Linked DNA regions of Arabidopsis thaliana. The main gene of each other region encodes a partner of the protein of the gene in region 4 in a complex. Each region holds a gene or a part of one and is shown on either strand. Other genes may lie near its edges.

Evidence for each region.
Region 1: CBL3 (region 4) and SIP3 share a complex: the UniProt entries of both Arabidopsis thaliana proteins name them as parts of the K(+)-channel calcium-sensing kinase/phosphatase complex.
Region 2: CBL3 (region 4) and KT1 share a complex: the UniProt entries of both Arabidopsis thaliana proteins name them as parts of the K(+)-channel calcium-sensing kinase/phosphatase complex.
Region 3: CBL3 (region 4) and CIPK23 share a complex: the UniProt entries of both Arabidopsis thaliana proteins name them as parts of the K(+)-channel calcium-sensing kinase/phosphatase complex.

What each region holds. Positions count from the first base shown.
Region 1 is NC_003075.7:15,065,281-15,069,692, forward strand, and holds SIP3 (SOS3-interacting protein 3), read left to right. Parts: upstream 1-1,747; 5' UTR 1,748-2,119; coding exon 2,120-3,445; 3' UTR 3,446-3,903; downstream 3,904-4,412. Other genes in the region: AT4G30970 (uncharacterized protein), read right to left, coding at 3,986-4,030. UniProt on the Arabidopsis thaliana protein: CIPK serine-threonine protein kinases interact with CBL proteins. Binding of a CBL protein to the regulatory NAF domain of CIPK protein lead to the activation of the kinase in a calcium-dependent manner.
Region 2 is NC_003071.7:11,331,341-11,338,297, forward strand, and holds KT1 (K+ transporter 1), read right to left. Parts: upstream 5,399-6,957; 5' UTR 5,105-5,398; coding exon 4,932-5,104; intron 4,079-4,931; exon of another isoform or gene 3,867-4,078; coding exon 3,510-3,866; intron 3,441-3,509; coding exon 3,383-3,440; intron 3,275-3,382; coding exon 2,957-3,274; intron 2,876-2,956; coding exon 2,630-2,875; intron 2,541-2,629; coding exon 2,442-2,540; intron 2,360-2,441; coding exon 2,327-2,359; intron 2,204-2,326; coding exon 2,018-2,203; intron 1,916-2,017; coding exon 1,721-1,915; intron 1,627-1,720; coding exon 1,551-1,626; intron 1,458-1,550; coding exon 625-1,457; 3' UTR 510-624; downstream 1-509. Other genes in the region: KCS11 (3-ketoacyl-CoA synthase 11), read left to right, coding at 1-283. UniProt on the Arabidopsis thaliana protein: Highly selective inward-rectifying potassium channel that mediate potassium uptake by plant roots in response to low K(+) conditions, by a calcium-, CBL-, and CIPK-dependent pathway. Positively regulated by phosphorylation by CIPK23.
Region 3 is NC_003070.9:10,653,108-10,659,401, reverse strand, and holds CIPK23 (CBL-interacting protein kinase 23), read right to left. Parts: upstream 4,603-6,294; 5' UTR 4,133-4,602; coding exon 3,908-4,132; intron 3,817-3,907; coding exon 3,754-3,816; exon of another isoform or gene 3,615-3,753; intron 3,457-3,614; coding exon 3,385-3,456; intron 3,299-3,384; coding exon 3,191-3,298; intron 3,083-3,190; coding exon 3,002-3,082; intron 2,863-3,001; coding exon 2,809-2,862; intron 2,712-2,808; coding exon 2,586-2,711; intron 2,410-2,585; coding exon 2,320-2,409; intron 2,201-2,319; coding exon 2,081-2,200; intron 2,002-2,080; coding exon 1,876-2,001; intron 1,662-1,875; coding exon 1,545-1,661; intron 1,449-1,544; coding exon 1,392-1,448; intron 1,312-1,391; coding exon 1,237-1,311; intron 1,119-1,236; coding exon 1,037-1,118; coding exon of another isoform or gene 1,020-1,036; exon of another isoform or gene 931-1,019; coding exon 878-930; 3' UTR 502-877; downstream 1-501. UniProt on the Arabidopsis thaliana protein: CIPK serine-threonine protein kinases interact with CBL proteins. Binding of a CBL protein to the regulatory NAF domain of CIPK protein leads to activation of the kinase in a calcium-dependent manner.
Region 4 is NC_003075.7:13,407,885-13,412,693, reverse strand, and holds CBL3 (calcineurin B-like 3), read left to right. Parts: upstream 1-1,623; 5' UTR 1,624-2,070; intron 2,071-2,525; 5' UTR 2,526-2,582; intron 2,583-2,664; 5' UTR 2,665-2,695; coding exon 2,696-2,819; intron 2,820-2,984; coding exon 2,985-3,067; intron 3,068-3,192; coding exon 3,193-3,252; intron 3,253-3,326; coding exon 3,327-3,447; intron 3,448-3,567; coding exon 3,568-3,701; intron 3,702-3,818; coding exon 3,819-3,931; intron 3,932-4,028; coding exon 4,029-4,086; 3' UTR 4,087-4,272; downstream 4,273-4,809. Other genes in the region: AT4G26580 (RING/U-box superfamily protein), read left to right, coding at 1-307, 395-752, 843-989; CBL7 (calcineurin B-like protein 7), read left to right, coding at 4,721-4,809. UniProt on the Arabidopsis thaliana protein: Acts as a calcium sensor. CBL proteins interact with CIPK serine-threonine protein kinases. Binds calcium ions. Binding of a CBL protein to the regulatory NAF domain of a CIPK protein lead to the activation of the kinase in a calcium-dependent manner.

The DNA.
Region 1 (4,412 bases), 1.7 Mb from region 4:
TTGAAAAGTATATGGAACGACTTATTTGTTGGGCATAACAACTTAATAAAATAGCATATCTAATATTTCCTCTTAAAATGGAACGATTTAAAACAAAAACAAAAAAAATCTTCTCAAAACTCATTAGCTAATTGATTGATTGTAGTAATATAGAGAATCTTCAGCAAACCAAACTTTAGTTATTTACGGACCACATGATAATTATCATATCTATGAATGTTTTTAATTTATATATTCTTGCTACAACATCCGTTTCAAAAATTATAGCCTCAAAATAAACAAGAAAAACTTCACAGTTTATCTACCATCTTCGTGTATAAAAACAAAGAAATGAAGTAGAAAACCCTAGAATCTACACTCACATAATGGTCCACAAGGACCACAACGAATGAAAACAATTGAACACAAATTATAGTAAAGAATCATGGAATCTATGGAAAATTATCAGACCCTACATTAAGACACAACTATTTTCTTTATAAACCTTATGAATTTTTGTAGATACAGAACTTGATTCATTGTATATAATTATGCTATTTCCCTCAATTATCCATATGCATAATGCAATGCAAATGGGTAAGTAGTCAGTTAAACTAAGGGCTTGATTGGTTCTCCCTCTGCCACCCGCAAACGCAGCGTTTGCGGGTGGTAGCGGTTGTTAGCGATTGGCACCAATCATATAAACCGCTAGATATCGCTTTGGACCGCTCGAAATCGCCAGATTTCAAAAGCTCCTTCCCGCAAGCGTTTGCGGTTGCGGGCGGTAGCGGTTAGGTTAAAAAAAAAATTATTTTTATAATTAATTAAAATAATTATATTTTCCACCCAAACCCTATATATCTTATTCTTATTAGAAAACTCTAATAATTAATATATTGTAACTCTATTCTCTCAATTATGGCATCCACCCAAACGGATAAAAATTAAAATCAAAATCAATAATCAAAAGTAAGTATCATATATTCGTTCATCCATTCACGACCAGTTTGATTTTTTTTTGAGTTGGAGATGTGTTATAAATCGTTTGGATATCTTGAAGAAACTTTATTATATGTATAGAGGCAATCTGGAAAATCCGCGAGTTCAACGTTATTTACAGTTTATCACACTATTTGATGTAATTTTTGGTGATGTACCAAATGCATAAAGTATTAAGCTTTTTCTTGCAAAATTTATTTATTTTTGAATTTAATGTTTTATTTACGGTTTTAATTTTTAATTATATTTAATTTTTCTAATATTATGAATTTATCATAATAATATATTATATTTTTCTTTCTTTTAATAGTAATATATTATATTTATTTTGGTTTATTTTTGTTTAATTACTATCACACCCGCTGGTTTACCAGTCATAAAACTCCCGCAAACGCACCCATTATCAAACGTTCAACCAGTCGTTCAAAACGTTTGATAACGCTTGAAACTGCAACCGCCAGTTTCCGCAAACTTCCGCAACCATAACCGCACCCGCTGCATTTTAATCCGTCAGGCCCTAAAAAAATTAATCACTAGGCCGTTAATCCCTATCCGTAATACGAAACACTAGAGGGATAGAATAGTAAATCGCATCGTGACCGGTCATAAAAAGACACGTGTCGTCATCGCTATCCAAATAATTGACAAACTCGAAGCCGCCAAGGGATTGCCGAAGACACATGTCAGTCAGCGAAAGGAGGTTAAACGGTGTAGTTATCACTCCCTAATAAGGGTATCTACGTAATTGCAATGTCGTTAAGATCTATATAAACACTACTCTTTTGCTAGCTCTTATCCGACGGCAAAAGGAGAATTAAGATTTTTAACTTTAAACGAGAGTTTCGTTTATTTACTCAAAAATTTACTTCTGAAATCTCTATTTGAATTTCGGGGAAAAAAATCCTAAGTAAGGGAATGCAGAGAGATGGTCGGAGTATCGCCGGTGAAGACTAAGCTGTGTGATCGGTTTAACCGATCCGTCGGCGGCAGGAATTGCCACCGGAAACACGTCGAGGACGGGTGATCCAGTTTTCTAAACTCTCGTCTCTCGAATTCTTCGAAGATATCGAAAAACTGTAAATCTTTTTTTTCTTCTACTTTTTTACAAAATTCTCTAATCATCGTTGTAAAGTAAAAAACCATGGTCGGAGCAAAACCGGTGGAGAATGGATCTGACGGTGGTAGTAGTACGGGGCTGCTTCACGGCCGTTACGAGCTAGGGCGTCTTCTAGGTCACGGAACATTCGCGAAGGTGTACCACGCTCGTAACATACAAACCGGAAAAAGCGTGGCGATGAAAGTCGTCGGAAAAGAGAAAGTGGTGAAAGTTGGTATGGTTGATCAGATCAAACGAGAGATCTCTGTGATGAGGATGGTGAAACATCCAAACATCGTCGAGCTTCACGAAGTCATGGCGAGTAAATCCAAGATCTATTTCGCCATGGAGCTTGTACGAGGCGGTGAGTTATTCGCTAAGGTGGCTAAAGGAAGACTACGTGAAGACGTAGCTCGTGTTTATTTCCAGCAATTGATCTCAGCCGTTGATTTCTGTCATAGCCGTGGTGTTTATCACCGAGATCTGAAACCGGAGAATCTCTTGTTAGATGAAGAAGGTAATCTCAAGGTGACTGATTTTGGTCTCTCTGCTTTCACTGAGCATTTGAAACAAGACGGACTTCTTCATACAACTTGTGGAACTCCGGCTTATGTTGCGCCGGAGGTTATATTGAAGAAAGGATACGACGGAGCTAAGGCGGATCTGTGGTCTTGTGGTGTTATACTTTTTGTGCTTCTTGCTGGTTATTTGCCGTTTCAAGATGATAATCTTGTGAATATGTATAGGAAGATTTACAGAGGAGATTTCAAATGTCCTGGTTGGCTTTCTTCTGATGCTAGACGGCTTGTGACTAAGCTTCTTGATCCGAATCCGAATACGAGGATTACTATTGAGAAGGTTATGGATTCGCCTTGGTTCAAGAAACAAGCAACGAGATCAAGAAACGAACCAGTGGCTGCCACAATCACAACCACGGAAGAGGATGTTGATTTCTTGGTGCACAAGTCGAAGGAAGAGACGGAGACGTTAAACGCGTTTCATATAATCGCGTTATCGGAAGGGTTTGATTTGTCGCCGTTGTTTGAGGAGAAGAAGAAAGAGGAGAAAAGAGAGATGAGATTCGCGACGTCTCGGCCAGCGAGTAGCGTGATTTCGAGTTTGGAAGAAGCGGCGAGAGTTGGGAATAAGTTTGATGTGAGGAAGAGTGAGAGTAGAGTAAGGATTGAAGGTAAACAGAATGGTCGGAAAGGGAAATTGGCGGTGGAAGCGGAGATATTCGCGGTGGCTCCGTCGTTTGTTGTCGTGGAAGTGAAGAAAGATCATGGAGATACGCTTGAGTACAACAACTTCTGCAGTACTGCTCTTAGACCAGCTCTCAAGGACATTTTCTGGACCTCTACACCTGCTTGAATTTGATGAATTCTTGCGTGTTTCAAATTTTTATGTTGTAATATATATTGTTGGATTCTAGATTCGATTCGTGATTCTTGTTTTTGATTCTTAATGTGGTATCATAGTTTGGATCGTTCAAAAAGTTGTAAGTCTTTTGTGTGTGTTTGAGTCGTGGCCGATATGTTGCGTCACGAAGCAGAGAATGTTGTGTGTGGTGTAGAATGGTGTGTTAAAGATTCCATCATCAACAAATAATAATCATGACTCTTTTAAGAATGTTAAAGAGTCAATTTTTATGCATTCATTCTCATCAAATGTCTTTTTTTTTTTTTTTGCACGTCTCTTCTTACCTTGGATTGATTAGGACATCATCTTTGTTTATGCTGGTCCAATTTGTAGTGTCGTGTTGAATCATGTATATACTCTTCAAGATTCATGTGACTATTGTATTAACACAAGTACTTAAAAAAATTCTGCGTTTTTACTTTATTGAGTCGTTTAGCTTATGCGTTTTAAATTGGTAAGATGAGTAGTAGAATCATCAAGTTAATTCAGTCGCTAGCGATGATAGAGGGCTTGTGGAGTAAGTCGAGTTAGTAAAATCTGTCATATAACAATAGGGATATGATTAGCACAAATGTGACGACGATTGTATGATTAGTGATCAGAGTTTTTTTTTTTTTTTGAATAAAATGATCGTGACAAGTATTCATTGATTTGTTGATTATAAATAATAGTGGAGTAGATGGATTCAGATGAGTGAATAGAATATGAAAAGTAAAAGGAAGATGAGGTGGGCAGCAAAACAAAAGTAGAAGTTACGTGATTGGGATGGATGTTTCATGAACCCGATTAATATTATATTAGTATATATCTCTCTTTTTAATAGAATTCTTAGTATAATCATATCAAACATGTGATTCATTAACGGAGATGCAAACACCAACCCATGATCTGTAACATAAAAAACGAAAAATGAATAACC
Region 2 (6,957 bases), on a different chromosome or scaffold from region 4:
CTTGAAACTCACAGAGTGGCATATGGAGCCCTCGAGGATGACACTCTACCGTTTTGGTAACACGTCCAGTTCTTCTTTGTGGTATGAATTAGCATATAGTGAGGCCAAAGGAAGGATCAAGAAAGGTGATAGAATTTGGCAGATAGCTTTTGGTTCGGGGTTCAAGTGCAACAGCTCGGTTTGGAGAGCGGTAAGGTCGGTAAACCCTAAGAAAGAGAAGAACCCATGGATGGATGAAATTCATGAGTTCCCAGTTGAAGTCCCCAAGGTCTCCACAATCTAGAAACCACTTAGTGGCAAATTTTCAGAAGAGGTTTTTGAGTTTTCAGCTTTTGATATTTTGTGTCTTCCCAGTGAATTTACCTTTTTCTTGATTTGATAATCAGATACACCAAACTGGTTAACAATATTTTTCTTCTTTTTTGCGGAAAAACTTGTTGTAGTCAGTAGCAGACCGTCAATGGTCGGTCCAGCTTGTGTTTTTGGTTGTTGTGTCTGCATATATATTTCCTTTAAGCATTCTTTGTCTCTTTCATTTTTTGACAAAGTTGTTAAAAACAAGAGTTATCAACTTGTCATTAATAACAATAGGTGATAGAATGTGGCAGAGAGTTTCTATGGTTGTTAAGAATCAGTTGCAAAGATGAGATGATCTCCATCTCTTATAACATCTACATCATCAATCTCTGCATTGTTGTCTTTGTTCATAACTTTGGTAGCAACAATACCAAACTTGTTGGAACCCAATTCTAGCAACTCCTTGAAACTCCCAGGAAGCAGTACCAGCTTCCCGGCTATGTCATCTTTCTCTGCACAACTAATCGTCACTCTCACCGGGTTTCCAGTTCTGCCTTCATCTACCGTAGCTAGCCCGTTCTTGGGTACGCTTTGATTTGCTAATATACCAAACAACGAGTTATCGAAGTTGTTAGTTTTACGTCTTGCTCTTGTTTCTCGAATCCTGAAAGACACTTCTCTTGATGCAGGACGGATGTTGGGTTCACTAGTGAATCTTCCGAGGAACCGGATCCCGGTTTTGAGTATAGGTACCGAAGAACTTGTCTCGATATGCACTCTCCTCTCATGTAACTTTTCTCGGAATAAGGCTTTAATATCCTCATGCCCTTGTTGCTCAGCAAGATCCCTCGGCGTCCAACCATGCATATCCTGCTTGTTAACATCCGCACCTTGCTCCAGAAGATACTTTACCATCTCAATGTTCTCTTCGCATACAGCGGTATGGAGCGCAGAGGTGCCTGTGGCTCTAGGACGAGTAACGTCTCCACCATGAAGAACAATTTCTTTTAGTAGTTTCAAGTTTCCTTGCTCAGCCGCCGTGCAAGCAAAATGACCCACATCCCCTGCGTCTATGGTACTGCCATGTTCTAACAGTACCTTTACAACTTTCTCATGCCCTTCCACCATTGCTTCCCACAGTGGTACACTCCCTTCCGCGTCTGCGTTTACATTTCGAAGAAACCAAGAAGCTCAATACTTCAGAAGAAATCCTGAAATCAAAAGGGAAGTACCAGAACTGAACAAGCAAGTACCTCTGCAATTGGGGTCTGCGTGGTACTCCAACAGAAGAAGAACACAATTTAGAGTTCCTTTTGATGCTGCTATATGCTGTTTCCAGAAAAAAAAAAGAGATCATAAGTTATAGTCTCCAAGAGCTTGGATGAGAAGAAAATAACAGAACAAGAATGTGAACTTGACTGACCAGAGGTGTTCTGCCATTGTTATCCGATTCATTTGGATCAAGTCCTCTCTTTAGTAACTGATGTAAAAGTAAATCGTCTTCTCTTATTGCAGCAAAGCATAAATTGAGAGGAAGATCCATTTTACCCCGTGCAAGCATGTTTTCTATCTCCAGCAGAACATTCGTCATCACCGGATCATTCATTTCTTTCAAATGCTGCTCTCCACAAAGAAAGAGAGTGAGAACAAGTAAGTAATAGTTCATAGATACTTTTCTGTTTTCAATATTTGAAAACCTCAGAAGGATCTGTTTATTCACCTGAAGTAGATTATTCATGATTATGGTACCATCACCAACATTGGCCTGAATAATATTCAAGAAAGTTGTACGGTTCATACGCAACAGTTGGCACAAACGTTTGGTCCTCACAGTAAACAGTTGTGGTCTGTAGCATAACACCCCTATCTCCCCTATAATGTCTCCAGCTTTAACCTCTCTCACAATCTGAAATTCTCCATAAACTTCTCTTTGTGAATGCTTAGTTACATCATAACTCCAAGATCACAGGTATGGAGACAAAAGGGATAAACATAAAATAAGAAACATCCATCAAGTGACGCGACTTACGCTTTCTGTTCCAGTATCTACATCCACCAAGTCCTGCATCATAACGGATATGTAAGAGAAGTAAGTTTTATGTCAACTCAACAAATCTGTAGAGAACTTTGTAATGTTTTATTACCGCGGTTCCGTTCACAAGGATGTAGAAGTCTGTTGGCGCTTCGTTCTGCAAGATAACATCTTCTTTTGGTGGGAAATACTCAGCTTTCATTTCTGAGACCTGTAAAATGTACAAAGTAGTGGTAGCTTCATTTGTGTGTTGAAAATGGGATATGAATGATGTTTTCACATGCATTGTCATTAGTATACCAGTTGAAAAAGCAGGTCATTGGATACTCCTCGAAACAGGTAGACTTTATCCATGAGGGAGTAGAAAAGAAAGTGTGATATACTCGATCTAATGGCCTTTGGGAGTGCATCAAGAGTTTCTTGCTGTTGCAGACCCTCAGAGTCAGTCCGGTATTTCAAACATAAATGTGCAAGCATTTGATCTTGCAGACGAGGTGGTAAATGGTTTCTATGAGCAAAATTTGAAGCAGCTTGGATTGTATCTCTCTGCAAAATGAGAACAAAATATTATAAACCGCGATGGATATGCTTCAAAGATTGAAGATGGATATGAAGATGCTAACTTACAAAATTTCTAGTCCGACTTGTTCCATGGACTACCAAATTTGTCATGTTACCAATCAAGTAAGCGGTTAATCCGAGGTTGAAGAGCATATAGAAGATATCAAATATCATCTCCTTTGTGTTCACAGGATGCAGATCACCATAACCAACAGTGGTTAGAGTAGTGATGGACCAATACATGGAAGTCACATATCTCATCCACAAGCTTTCCTCTAGGAAGTTTGCTACATTTGCACCAATCCAGGTCTTTGCGGGGTTAGAATTGCGCGCTGCGATAAGGTAATAGAAACATGCAGCACAATGAACCGCAAAAAGAGTGACCTGCAAAAATGCTCTGGTTGGTTAGTATCTACACTATTACTACATCGAGAGTGTAGTAGTTTGAATAAAGATAACATTATAAGAAGCAAAACATTTTGATGTTCTTACACAAACGAGTTTTGCGCATCGGACCCAAAAGTAGTTGAAGTTGCGGTCTTTCTCTAGTCTGTTAAACAGAGAATGTCAAGATTAAAGAAAATAATGAAAGAAAGAAGAAAAGTTTAGTGATTCTAACCTGGCAAACAAGGCACCGACTCTGCGAAGACGCCAAAGACGAAGCATGTTAAACAATCCATAAGACTGAGATGAGATTCTCATAGCAGCCTCTGAGGGAATGGTTGAAACAAGATCAAGAAGGAACCAAGAACGCAAGTACTTAAATGCAATCTGTTTACGGTCATCAACAATGAGGTAAGTCGATTTATCGAGGTAACCAACAAAGAATGTCATGATGATATCGATGGCGAAGAATGCGTTCACAATGTTATCGGTGATAGATAGTGGTGGCCTTGGCTTTCTCAAGAACCCAAACTCGAAAGGCGAAACCCAAGCTGTGTAAACCACAAGAACCACTAGGAAAGCCTCCCATATCCTGTAGTCAACATTTCCATTTCAGTCATATTCAATAATCTAGTACATTTTCTACATGTAGTTGAACATATCTCTTAAGTTACTGCATGAATATATCCAAGTAAGTCTCATATTTAATTTATCAGTACTTTGTGTTTCAATAGTATGTTACTATTTGATGACGCTATTGAGGATACAACAACCAAGTACAGTTTTTTCTACTTTTGGTTATAGTAATATATCAGATTTGATATCAGTCGTTGAAATCAAGTAATGAGTGCCTTGAATGTTCCACATTCTCTTTTTCAATTACTATAAATTATCCCCAAAAAGCAAAAGCCAAAAGCAAAGGCGGCTTTTAAGCTAATTAGCCAACGAGAGTAATAATGGGAGCCTTGAATATTCTACAATAGCCTTCACATTTATAGATCTTCTTTTTTGAATATTAGGGAACTAGGATTTGAATATTCCAAATGTTGAGTAAAAAGGGAGCTTTAGTCGTCAAGTAGTTAAAATTTTCAAATTAACCTAAGAAAATATTATTATTAAAAATCAATTGTTGTTGAGGTAAAAAAACGTGGAAACCAACATTTTTGTGTTGTTTGACCAACTAGCATTTTTTATTTGCACGTAATTTTTTTATTTTATGAAGAAATTAAAACATTTTTCAAATAAAATAGTCCAATAAGATAAAATAACATGTTATTTGTTTAAAACCAACATGAAACTCTTACTATTTTGAGGGTAAACTTGTAACCTAACCAAATAGTTATTCACCTAACTCATAGAAAATAAGGTTAGTTAATCTAGTGCATATACTTAATAGTATTTACCCACAATAAATTACAAAAGTTGATCACCAACCATTAAAAAGAATACAATTTTTTTTTATATTCAGTATTCATTTAATAAAATACAAATTTGTTAACTATGATCCTAAAGTAAAGTTAATTTCTTGTTTCCGATCCTCATAAATGAAAGAATCAGAAGTTATATAGTTGAAATATATATCAAGTTAAAATGGTAATCGTCTTCTTAGCTTGACATGGAAGAGAAACAAGAAAAACAAAAAACAAAAGAGTGAAACCTGTATTTGTGATCATAAGGAGATACAACGAATCTCCTAAGCTTAACTCGTCGATTACTTCTTGCACCAAGTGAAGGTAAAATTCCAGTAGAAAGACTAAAATGACTACTCTCTCTCGAAAGCTGTTCAATCTCATCTTGGACTTGTCCGCATAACAAAGCCCCTCCTCTCATCACCGACGTTTTTTTTTCTTGGCTTCCTCTTTGATGGTTCCTTTTTTTTGTTCTTTTGGTTTCGGCAAAAGAGGCAAAATAAGCAGCTTAACTCTTGGCTTTATTGGTTTCACATTTTTTTTTCACTCGTTGTTGATGAGTGAGACCTTTTTTTTTTCTTTATAACAAAAAAAAACTCTTGGCTAGTTGGCTTTATTACGGGTGTGTGTGTCATTTCTGACTTTGGATCCCTTCACTTTCAAGGAATTAAGTTTTCTCTCGGCAACACAGTGGTTGGCCCCACTTTCACGTCTTAACCCTTACTGTAGCATTAATGGTGGCTTCTCCATTTCAAGATAAAATAAAATATCATTCTTGCTCATAAATAATTGTATTAACAGAAGAAGAAAAATTAGACCGAAGAGGAAGAGTTGACCAAAAATTTATACATCAGAGCATGATCTCAAGTTTTTCAATCATTATACTTACTATTTTATTGTTTGTTTGACTTCTAACTAAAGGAAAAAAAAAACACATATAGATGTAGGACACGACTTAAAACTTGTTTTAAAATATTTTAGGTGATCGATCATATAACATTCTTGGGCTCATTTGTGGTATGGAGATTTGAAGTGAGATATTGATTGCAACTTATGGTATGATTGGTTGCATACTTGCATAAAGAGCAATAAATGTTAAACTGTCATACTTTTATTTTAACGAGTAAAGGAAAAGCAAATCGTAAAAAAATAGTTTTTCTTTGTTTGGGCATAAAAGAAAAATATTTTGGTTCATCATCCCTAGATCGTAAGCCCTTTTGTTCACCTTTTCCTCGTCTATCTTACTCACTTCTTGTCCATCATCGTATATATAGGGAATTTAAGATAAGCTAGACATTTAGCCTTTAGGATATGATAACTACCATTGTTTGGGGAGGAAGCTACTTAGGATTTAAGTAGATAATGTAAAATGATGAGGGATAATAATGAACTTTGGATAACTATCCATTTTCTTGAAAGAGAAGTAATGTGATGGATAATCATCACATTTATAACAGTTACCTCATTAAAGTGGTCTTATTACTACAAATATTTGTTGCTATTTTTTCCTTCAAGTTCTGGATTTCTCAAATTTCATATAGTTAAAGTTTTAATTTACAAGATGTCTACTGCTATAGATAAATCATAAAGGTTTGATTGCTATGTCGCTAGGGGAGGAAGATGACCTTTTAAATATATTTGATCTACTTCAATATTGCTCTAGTGAAAAGAGTGTTGTGAGTTTGATAGGAAGAATTCGTAAATCGGATTGCCAAATGATGGAGCTAATCCTAGATAAGCCAAGGAACTGGCAAAAGTATGAAATCATCATAGAGATGGCTATTTCCTATAGAGAATGTTAGATGCGTAACAACCAATTTTCTTTTACTTTTAGAATTTTCTTTATTTACTAATATTTCAGTTAGAGGTTAGCACACTTCTTGTTCCATCCCATAACTGTTCGGGTGTTTCCAAATTCCTATCTTATATAGGAATGTATTCTCAATATGGGACAAGTTGGTATTTCCAAATAGAAACTGGAGGGGTTCCCTAAGTCCTGATTGTGACAAATACAACTAGTATATATATATATATATATATATATATATATATAATATTCTAAAAACTTAATTGATTTAATTTATGTTTAGTTGTTCTAAAATGGATTATGTTTCTTTGTTTTTTCAAGTTTTAACTTTTCACTATATAACACACTTTATCATTTTTTCTTGTTTGGAAAATATTTATGCTAGATAAATTGAAAACATGTTAATTATAGAGCAAGAGTTTATATTTTATTTTATTGTAACAGGTTCTAAGACCTTTTTTTATAGA
Region 3 (6,294 bases), on a different chromosome or scaffold from region 4:
CGAGGACCAAACTCTTTCTCCACATCCACAACAGCCTTAGCTGTTTCTAAACCAACAGGACCAACCTCCTCCTCCACATCTACAACATCCACAACAGCCTTAGCTTCATCCAAACTGTGAGGAACAAACTCCTCATCCACATCCACATTAGTTGTTTCCAAATTATGAAGACCAACCTCCTCCTCCTCCACACTCTTAGCTACAGCCTTACCTGTTTCTTAGCAATAAACAAGAGAGTAATACAGAAGAATAACAAAACCCCTAATTGAAGAATTGGTGTTCTTGTTCACATCTTCTTCGCCCTCAATTATTAATACAGAGTAACTTGGCCACCAAGTTTTCCATCTCTAAATTTTTGTTATAGTATTTGGTCCGACATAATCTTTATTGATATTTTTCTTTCCTTGATTTTGGTTTTAAAATCTCACTAACTTCAAGTCATGCTATATATTCAGTTTGTTTTGTCTACACTGATATTGGTTTTCAGTCCGCTTTCCTTTTTCAGGTTTTAAAATTATGAAAATAAATTTCGATTTGGTTCACACACAAGTGTTAGTTTGTTTTCAGTACATTTGAACTGAAATATCTATCGAATCTCAGCGTCCGACAATATAGAAATTGCAAAACCAAATCTGTAAAGCTTTTACTTTCCGGTTAATCGATTCAAGCCAAGAACCTCGCAACACGCATATGCTATTCACAACATTCCATGGAATCAAACATGATTAAAATATCAATAATCCCCATTCCCCAATATAGTTTCAAACTGCTTCTGCTCCACTTCTTGACGCTTCCTTTTGTATTAACTTCAAAACCACTCCGTACTACTATAGTAATTTATAACGAACAAAATCTATATTAGAAAAAAGTAAACAGCTTATGTCGACTGTTTTGCAATTGTCCGGTTAGCCATGGCACCATTAGTACCACCTGAAACATGAAGAAACAAAACAGGATTTGTGTTTACATGTTTCGTTAGTTTCTCCTTTTCTAGGAGCTTTATCTAAAAAACAGAGTATTCAAGGCAGATACTTACCACCATCGGTTCCTTCCTCTTTCTCTTCGTCGATGGTTTTCCAAACAATGTCCTTAAGTCCCGTGGTAAGGTTCTTGTAAAACTAAAAGAAGAGCAAGAAAGGATGCAAAAAGGTAAAGATTCAAACATCAGTTACTGGAAGACCATTTGACAAGCTCGGGTTTGATACAACCTGATCAGCATTAATAACCCTTGCATACCTTGTGGAATTCCAATGTGTCACCCCCTGATTTTCGCATTTCAACCATGTAAAGAGATGGAGCAACTTGAAAAACCTGAAGGTAGATGTCAATTAACTTAAATTAGGTTCAGCCAACCATACAAAGGGTGATCACTGGTCATTGTGAAAGCTAACCTCAGTGGCAACTGCCAACTGACCCTTGCGGCCTGATTTCTCTCCTGTCAGCTTCATCTGAAGGAGTTGAGAAATGGTTAAAGGGTCTATTCAGAAGCAACAAACCAATACACAACTCCACAGCATTGGGTAAATACGTAACAGTATTCTAACCTTGTAGTTATTTGTCTTGACATCAAACCCCATAGGTGCTGCCGCAGCCTCAATTTTTGTAACTATCTCATTAGCCGAAGATTTGGAAGTAAATCGAGTTTTTCGTTTCACCAGCCCCTGAAATCAGAGAAGCTTATCAATCAGAATGACGACTTCTATCAAACTAAGTACGGGCTTCCAAAGAAAAGTATTGGTCACTAAAATTTTGTGGCAAAGCTACTTCTTATTAGGTTTGACCAAAACCGCAAAAAGATAGTTAAAAATTGTCAACAAAATAAGAGCCTTGGGGGACGAAATTTAAAGACCAGCTTTACGTATCAGACTTCTGTACCATTTGTTTTTCGAAAAGTGAACCGAGATTGAGACCCTGGGATGTCGAGATGAGCTCAAAAGCATTCATCGTTACTGGTGTTTTGAGTCCTTCTTCTCGCCTCTCCACAACAAGATTCTTAGACTCCTATTAACAAACAAAAACAACTGAGCAATCATCCCGGACAAAGTACCGAAAAAAACAAACAAAAGAACACTAGCCTTACCCCTGAGTCATCAAAGATTGCATCAACATCATCAAGGCTGACATCAGCATTCTCAAATTTAGGTGCTTTATACCCTTTTTTAAACCACTCATTTTCAATGACCTCAGCAAATGTAATCCTCTGCCCAATATAAAAAATCAGTGTAAGCCTTCAGATCTACTCAATCCTATAGAAGCTTTTGCCTCTTCAAAGGAGAGATCCTCTAATATAAATTATATAATAGGGTAAGAAAAATATACCGTTGCTGGATTGGGATCCAGAATTCTTTTGATTAACTTCTTAGCACTTGCAGAGAACCAGGGAGGGCAAGTAAATTCTGCTTTGAATATCTGTAATTATGAAGAAAGAAAATCAGGTGGCTTTTATGCTATATACGTCTCATACAAAAATGACAGAGGCTTTTATACAGCCACCCAAATGCACCTAGACCTTGAAGCCTTTCTGATAGCATGTAAAATGATATGTATCAAAAGAAAAGCAAAAGAAGAAGAGGCAAGCGTAATACCTTTTTATATAACGACGTCAGGTTAGAATCTTCAAAAGGTAAATAACCAGCCATTAAAACAAAGAGAATTACTCCACAAGACCACAAATCAGCCTTCGCTCCATCATAACCTTTGTTGTTGATTACCTAGGGAGAAAATATAGAAGGTTACTGAGACTAGAAAATAATAGAATTCAAGTTTTGAGAAAATTGTGTGTCAGTTTTCAGTAGCAGTTGCTAATACCTCCGGAGCAACATAATTGGGTGTTCCACAGGTTGTGTGAAGTAACCCATCCTCCTAAAGAAAAAGGGTCACAAAATCAGCTTTTGAATAAATCATGGAAATCTTTCTCCTTAGAAGCCATAGTAGCTGAATTATCGAACTATGATATTTACAATGAAATGATAGAAAAAGAAATCAATATCTCGATGCTCACTCGAACTTGCTGAGGTAGAGCGCTCAATCCAAAGTCAGACACTTTCAAAGCACCATTAGCATCCAAAAGCAAATTTTCTGGCTGCAACCAGAATGTGCAACATGATTCAAACACATCAAACTTTTATTCTGATGCCAATTGATTCACAAGAAACCCTATGCAAGAGGATCACAAAGTAAGATTCCTAACCTTAAGGTCTCTATGATAAACTCCCCTGCTATGACAATAATCAACCGCATTAATCAGCTGTTGGAAATACTTCCTCGCCTCATCTTCCTTCAATCTCCCATTGCTTGACTAATACATGACAATTCTAAAGAATTAAGATCTCATTTCCACATAGTATTAAGAAAAAAAAAACACATCTTTCAATGAAATCTTACAATTTTATCGAAAAGCTCCCCACCAGTGACGAATTCCAAAACGAAGTAGATCTTAGTTTTGCTAGCCATCACCTGAAGAAGAAGAAGAAGAAGAAGAAGAAGAAGAAGAAGAAGAAGAAGAAGAAGAAGAAGAAGAAGAAGAAGAAGAAGAAGAAGAAGAAGAAGAGAATCTGTAACTACAAAGATACCAAAAAAATACATAGAATAATCAAATCCCTTATATTACATACATATGATTAGCCAGGGACCACAAATATGTTCCATAACTTCAAACGAATCTCAGCTTATAGCACAAATCTATAGAACAACAACAACAACCAAAACGTGCAACACAACTTTGAATTCAGCTTTATAGTATCAGAATCAAACCTCAAACATACGAATGACATTCGGGTGCTTGATCAATTTCATCGTCGAAATCTCACGCTTGATCTACAAAATCCAAAATCAAAGGTTATATCACAACTGCGTAAATCAGATTCCCAATAAGAACACAGCAGCTGGAGAATTGTATAATACATACCTGAGCGATCATCTTATTTTTCAGAACTTTCTCTTTATCAATAACCTTAATAGCGACATTATCACCATTCTCAACATTTCTAGCGAATTTGACCTTAGCGAAAGTTCCTTCACCCAAAGTTCGTCCAAGCTCATACTTACCAACTCGTGTCCTACCACCAGAAGAACTACCAGAAGGCGTTGATCGTGAAGGAGTCGATCGTGAAGGCGTTGTTCGAGAAGCCATCTCTCTCTCTATATATATATCTCGGTCTCTTATATATATATAGATAGATCTCTATTGAATCAGGAGGAGGACCTCTTCTTCTTGCATGGCTGCCATACTTGGGATTTCGCAACGCTCATCGTGAGAGATCTGCAGAAGAATTAAAACCCTAAGGGACCGGAGACCATATAAACAGCCGAAAATCAAAATTCAACTCTCGTGTGCGGAGAAAATTCAATTTGGACGAAGAAGAAGACTCATGAAGACGAGATTTGTATTTGAAGTGAAATTTTGTCAGTAGGGAAAATTCTGGGAATCGTAAATTTCGGCTGCTTTAGAAAAATCGAAGCCGGTTCTGGGAAAAAGCGAGTAACAGCAAGCGAGAGAGAGAGAGATTGTGATTCGATGGTGGAAGGAATTTAAAAGTTAAATTAAGAAGTAAATTAGTTAAGGAAATGTTTAATTAAAATTCTGTTTAGGGATTATACGAGGAAGGTTGTATCTGTAGGTTCTGACGTATACTATAGTTTACATTTTAAATTATTCTAGGCTTATCTTAGTCTTTGATAATTTAAATGCAAACGTTATGGACTTATGGTGATTACAGAAAATTATGTCATCCTTTTTTATCAAATATAAATAAAAGTAAATATTTTACTTTTTTACATGCCGTGTAATTAGCTGTCATAATTTTTTAAAACAAAATTTCGAAAAAGAAAATAAAAAATATGATATTTTCTCCAACCGAATAATCAACGATTTCAAAAGAGTTAAAGAACGACAGTAAAGAATTTATAAATTTTTCTTTATCTTTAATTTCTCGTAAAAATAAAAACAGATAAATTAGTACAAAAAAATTCTTACCTAACTTAAATAATATTCTCGAAATTGCTCAATTAAATTCTAATTAATATTAATTATTAAAATATATATATATATATATATATATATATATATGCAAACTTTTAATAAAAATATTGAACTAAGTCCACCACTTATCCAATTAGCTGCCATCACTTATCCAAGTATCTTTTTATACTCCGAGATTCCAAACATGTGTACTTATAAGATTTATAAAACGTAAGAGGATCTTTTATTTACTCTAATAAATACTATTGATTAGATTTGAAACGTCCAATTGAACTTTTGATGTTATGGAAAAGCCGTTACCAGTATCAAGGAGCTACGTGCCCTTTTCAATACTAAATGTTTCACAAAAGGGGCACTTAATGATACAAACCATTAAACATTAAATTTTCGATGGTTCGATCAAATGTTTAGAATCTTCTGTCTAGATTATATATGTGTTTGTGTTTCTATAAGAAATAATGCTCTATTATAAATACAGTATACAGTTATCAACCTAACTAGTTATACTTGTTTTTTCAACCCAAAATAGTTTAAACCTAGTTTCTGATTTTTATGGTGCTCATCAAAGAGAATGTTATCTAATAATCATCGTATTAGCATAAAACAATAGAACCAAATCATTGGTGGGCAAATGTACATACACATGACCTTGCCACGTTTTCTTGAAAGGGTTTGACTTTACAATTGATAGCCCATGAGGCCATGACCATCATGATGCATATTTTTAAAAATAAAAGTTATCTGATTCATATATATTCATACTCGTTTAGTCGTTGAATGTAAATTCTCAAATCTTTTCATCATAATTTTCTTCAGTTGATGATCATTGCAGATGCTTTAGATTGAAAATTATATTTAATCTCTTAAAAACCCTAATGTGTAAATAATGACTTTCTTATCAAGAAAGTATATTCCCGGTCAGTCATTATAATATTTGACCTCGGAAATAAAAATAAACCGACCCACGAGTTCGTGTTTGTGATCAGAAAACTAAATTAACGGAAGTTAACAGAAACAATCATGTTCGAGTGTCTGTTGGAGGCAACCAAGACATTATTATTTGCTTAATTAAAATGATTTTACAAAGCGTACAATATCTCTTTCTAACCTAATAATACCAAAACTAAACCCTTTAACAAAAAGAACATAACACCAAAATTCAATTCTAATAAGAATCAAACAATAATAATCTTTTTAATCGGTCGAGTTAACTGTACTTGAGACATATAGTCACAATTATTTTAAATCTATGTTTGATTATTTTATACGTAAATATATTTAAAAGTTCATCATTAGTAATTAAATTTTGAACT
Region 4 (4,809 bases):
TCTTTCATTACCAGAACGCCTCAAGATCCGATCTTGGCACCAATCCTTTCAATTCTATCGCTTGGATGGTATCAGAGCTCATCGCTTTACTTTTACAGATCACTGTGATAACATCCACACTAGCTTTGTCCAAAAACGAGAGGCCTGTTTGGCCGATGAGGTTATGGATCACTGGCTACAACGTTGGATGTCTGCTCAATCTTATGTTACTATACGGTCGGTATCGTCAGCAAGATACTAGCCATGAAAATGCATTTAGCTTCGGCGATATTGAGCAGCAACAAAGAAGCAGGGAAGAGACCACCAGGTTACTAACAAAAATCTAGTTTTTTCAAGTTTGATCATAAAATGCAAAGATTTCTAGGAAAATGACTTATTTTTGTGTGTGTTTTAGGTGCTCGCATTTGATGAACAAATGCCGGACATCGCTGGAGCTATTCTTTGCGATATGGTTTGTGATAGGTAATGTATGGGTTTTTGATTCTCGGTTTGGTTCTTTCCACTATGCTCCAATCCTTCATGTCCTCTGCATCTCCCTACTCGCTTGGAACGCTCTCTGTTACTCCTTCCCATTTCTTCTCTTCCTCCTGCTCTGTTGTGTTGTACCTCTCGTTAGTAGCTTCCTCGGCTACAACATGAACGTTGGATCTTCGGAAAAAGGAGCTTCAGATGACCAGATCTCCAGTCTCCCAAGTTGGAAATACAAACTCATTGATGAAACTTCTGATTCTTCTCAAGCAAACAATGATCCGGTAAGCACTAATTTGAATTCTGAAATAGGTCAAATAGTCAGAAATCAATCTTGATATCAAAACTGAAACCCACCGGTTTCATTATTGCAGGAATGTTGTATATGTTTGGCAAAGTACAAAGAGAAAGAAGAAGTGAGAAAGCTTCCATGTTCGCATAGGTTTCACCTCAAATGCGTAGATCAATGGCTTCGTATCATCTCGTGTTGTCCTCTTTGCAAACAAGATCTCCCTAACTGAAAAATCAAAACAATACATGAGTCACAAGATTGAATCTCTGACCAAGTACCATATATGTGTTTTTTTTTTTTTCTGTTGCCGCCTAAACACGTTTACTTGTGTGAATGTCGTTATCATTCCTTTTTTTTTCTTGTGTACAAAGTAGCTCACCAGTAACTGTAATTTTACCTAAAAAAAAAGTTAAAAAACATGATCAATCTGTTGTTTTACCAGTAGAGTTTGTCCCTCTCTTACCATTAATCAAAGTTTTAATTGTTGGTTAATGTAACTAAGCTTATACTGGTTTTTGCTATAATATTTTTTCCAAAGACAATTTAAACCGAATTCAAACCCAGAGACCAAATCAGACCAAAGCAACAGTCAGAATCCGAATAACATGACACGCCGTCGTATAGGAACGATTATTGAAACGATGGTGTTTAAGACAGCGCATAAATGGACACATGCTCCACTAGACGACGACGTGTGAAAGTGAATGTAACAAGGAGTTTTATTACAACTGTATCAACATCGAGTAAAAATAAACAAAATTATTTATTTTTTAAATTTAAAAAGTATAAAAACGCCAACAAACAAAAATAATTTGGTCTTTTTCTTAGCATATTTAAAATTTTGCAATATATTCATTCTGCTTATAGAAAATCGTGTCGACCTTTTTTCTCTCACTTACCCAATAAGAGCTTTTTTCGCGTTTTCCACCGCAACCACCGTCACCTTCAACCGCCGGAGCCGCCGCAAGGAAGGCTCATCATCCGCCGTGGCGTAAGGCTTTTTCTTCTTCTCTTTCTCCCTTTTCTACGATTTCGCGGTCGGTCGCTTCCTCGTAATCTCGTGTGTTTATTCCGGGAAAATCGCGATGGGAAACAAGTTAAAATTTGAGATTGAGAATCAAGCAACTAATTTCTTCGCAAGCTGATAGATCCATGAGCTGATTACCAAGTTTATATAACGAGATTCATCGTTGTTGTATCTCTGAATCCGAACGATTTGGAATCTAAAACTCATTGGATCGCTTTTTCTCATATCCGTCATTTCTCCTTAGCTTAATCACTTCTCTGATTCATATCGCGATTAGATTCAGGTGTCGATCCTCAGAGGATTATATTTTCTGACGATTAATCCGTCTGGATAGTTTTATTATGTTCTTCATGATGCATTTTTTTTCCCCGCAAAATTCATGATGCATTTCTGACGTGAAATTGGGTGTTTTTGATTCCTCATTTTATCCTAGTTCATGTATTTTTTGGGGCTGTTTCTTAGATTTGGGTTTCGTGTTTTAGCTTAAAGATAGTTCCTAATCCATGAATACATTGGTTAATCTGGAAATGAATCTGGAGTTAAGATTAATGCATAAAGTTTACGACCGTTTATAATATGCGTCTCCTCTGTTTGTGTTTCATAGTATCTGGTGCTTTAGTCTAATTCAGATCTGATCTGAGAATGATGAATCTTGTTTGCTCCTGTCAATTCTTCTTTAACTGTTTTGCAATTTGATGAGCTAATAACTGACTATATCTCATTTCCTTCCCATCGCAGAATTTTTTGAGGTGTACAAAGCATTGCCTATTTGACGAACCAGGAAATGGTTAAAAGGTACTTATCTTGTTCAAATGCATATGTCTTTAGATTCTTCCAAGTGGTTCGAAAGTTCTTACATTTTATTGTTATTTAACAGGCATGGAGAGTTTTGATTTACAAGATATATCATGTCGCAGTGCATAGACGGTTTCAAGCATGTATGCTCCTCTTTTTTCCGGTGTTTTGATATCGATATTTACAAACAATCTGGAGGCCTTGGTGACCCTGAACTTCTTGCGAGAGAGACAGTTTGTATGCTCTCAACTTCTTTTCCATCTTATTTTAACTTCCATGCACTTTTTTTTTCCAGTTATATGTATGATTCAAAGGCTTGCCATTACTCTAGTTGATGCTCTCTGTTAAGAGGAATGCAAATCTTTCTTTCTGTGTTTTGATCATTGACTCGTTTGGGTGCAGTTAGCGTGAGTGAAATAGAGGCTCTCTATGAGCTGTTTAAGAAAATCAGCAGTGCTGTGATTGATGATGGGCTAATAAACAAGGTATGAAGGAAGGGCATCATTATATGTCTTTTATGCCACTCACTTATACTCCTCACGAATCATGCATATTGCTACGTCTTTTGGACATCCTTTTCTGATTTTCCTTGACCTGTCTTGTCGTTCAGGAAGAATTTCAGTTAGCCTTGTTCAAGACAAATAAAAAAGAGAGCTTGTTTGCAGACCGGGTATGTTCTTCTTTTTTAATCAAAAGACTTTGTTATCCATTTGCCAAGATCCTTTTTGAAAGATAACTTGACAGTACCAATCACAGGTATTCGATTTGTTTGACACAAAGCATAATGGAATACTGGGGTTTGAGGAGTTTGCGCGTGCTCTCTCTGTCTTTCATCCAAATGCTCCCATAGAAGACAAGATTGACTGTACGTCTTTGATCTTACAAAGTTGATCTGAGAAACCATCTATACAATTTATCTGATGTTGACATGCTACATGTAACCCATGAAATATCACTAACAGTTACCGGGAACATTGTTTTGCAGTTTCGTTTCAGCTATATGATCTTAAGCAGCAAGGTTTCATAGAGAGGCAAGAGGTGAAGCAAATGGTGGTGGCTACTCTTGCTGAGTCCGGCATGAACCTGTCAGACGAAATCATAGAGAGTATAATCGACAAGGTGTGGTTCCTTCCTACCCTGCTCGATACTATATTCTTGTTCCACTGTTGTATAGCCAACTCATGATAGCAGTTGAGAATAAAGTAAAGAGTGGTTTCTAAGTTTCTTCTTTCACAGACATTTGAGGAAGCTGATACAAAACATGACGGGAGGATCGATAAGGAAGAGTGGAGAACCCTTGTTCTCAGGCATCCTTCCCTTCTAAAGAATATGACTCTCCAGTATCTTAAGTGAGTTCCTAAACCAAGACTTATCCGAGGTTTAGGCAATGCAACTTCCAATTTTTTCTGTGTTATTATTAACACCGATCTCTGATATTGTGTGCAGGGATATAACAACTACATTTCCGAGCTTTGTGTTCCACTCGCAGGTGGAAGATACCTGAGAAAAACAATAGCATATTAGCAGAGGAGACAATTTGGGAATTGTGTTTGTTTTCTGATTATGTATCATGTCTATTTGTTTCAATCTCTCTGAACATTTTCAAGATTTTGTTGTTACTTGTGTGAATTAAAAGTAAAGAAAACAAATCTGTATTTTTGCTACTCCTGATTTTGATTGCTGATTTTCTCCTCGCATCTGTAGATATACTACTAACCTTGAGACATGAATCCTATTAATAAAGAGCAAACTGATGAAGTGATAATAGAGAGCAAAAAAGAGAGAACCCAACACCAAATGATCGGGTATGCTCTAGTCTGAATTCTGAAGTCAAAATTGAAATCACCGATTTGATCGAACCGGATGCAACATTACAACAATCGGATTTGTTAGTCTTGTGGTTGACTTTGTCAGTTAGAGTTGACAAAGTAATTAGCAAAGTTAGTGACGATTGTGTTCTGCATAAACACGTTTACTTTGAGGAATAAATTACTTACTCTTTCGGTCTTTCCTAATATATATGTTTTCCCTGTCTCAAAGATCTGAATAGGTATCAGAGCGCGTTGACAATCTCTTTTTTTGATCATCGATTTGTTCTCTCTTTCTTGGCTAAAAAGTTTCTATCTACACGACTCTCCATGGATTCAACAAGAAATTCAGCTTCTTCCAACTCCACGGGATGCTTTACGGATCAGAAAAAGCGAAAGGCACTCTATGAGGTGTTTAA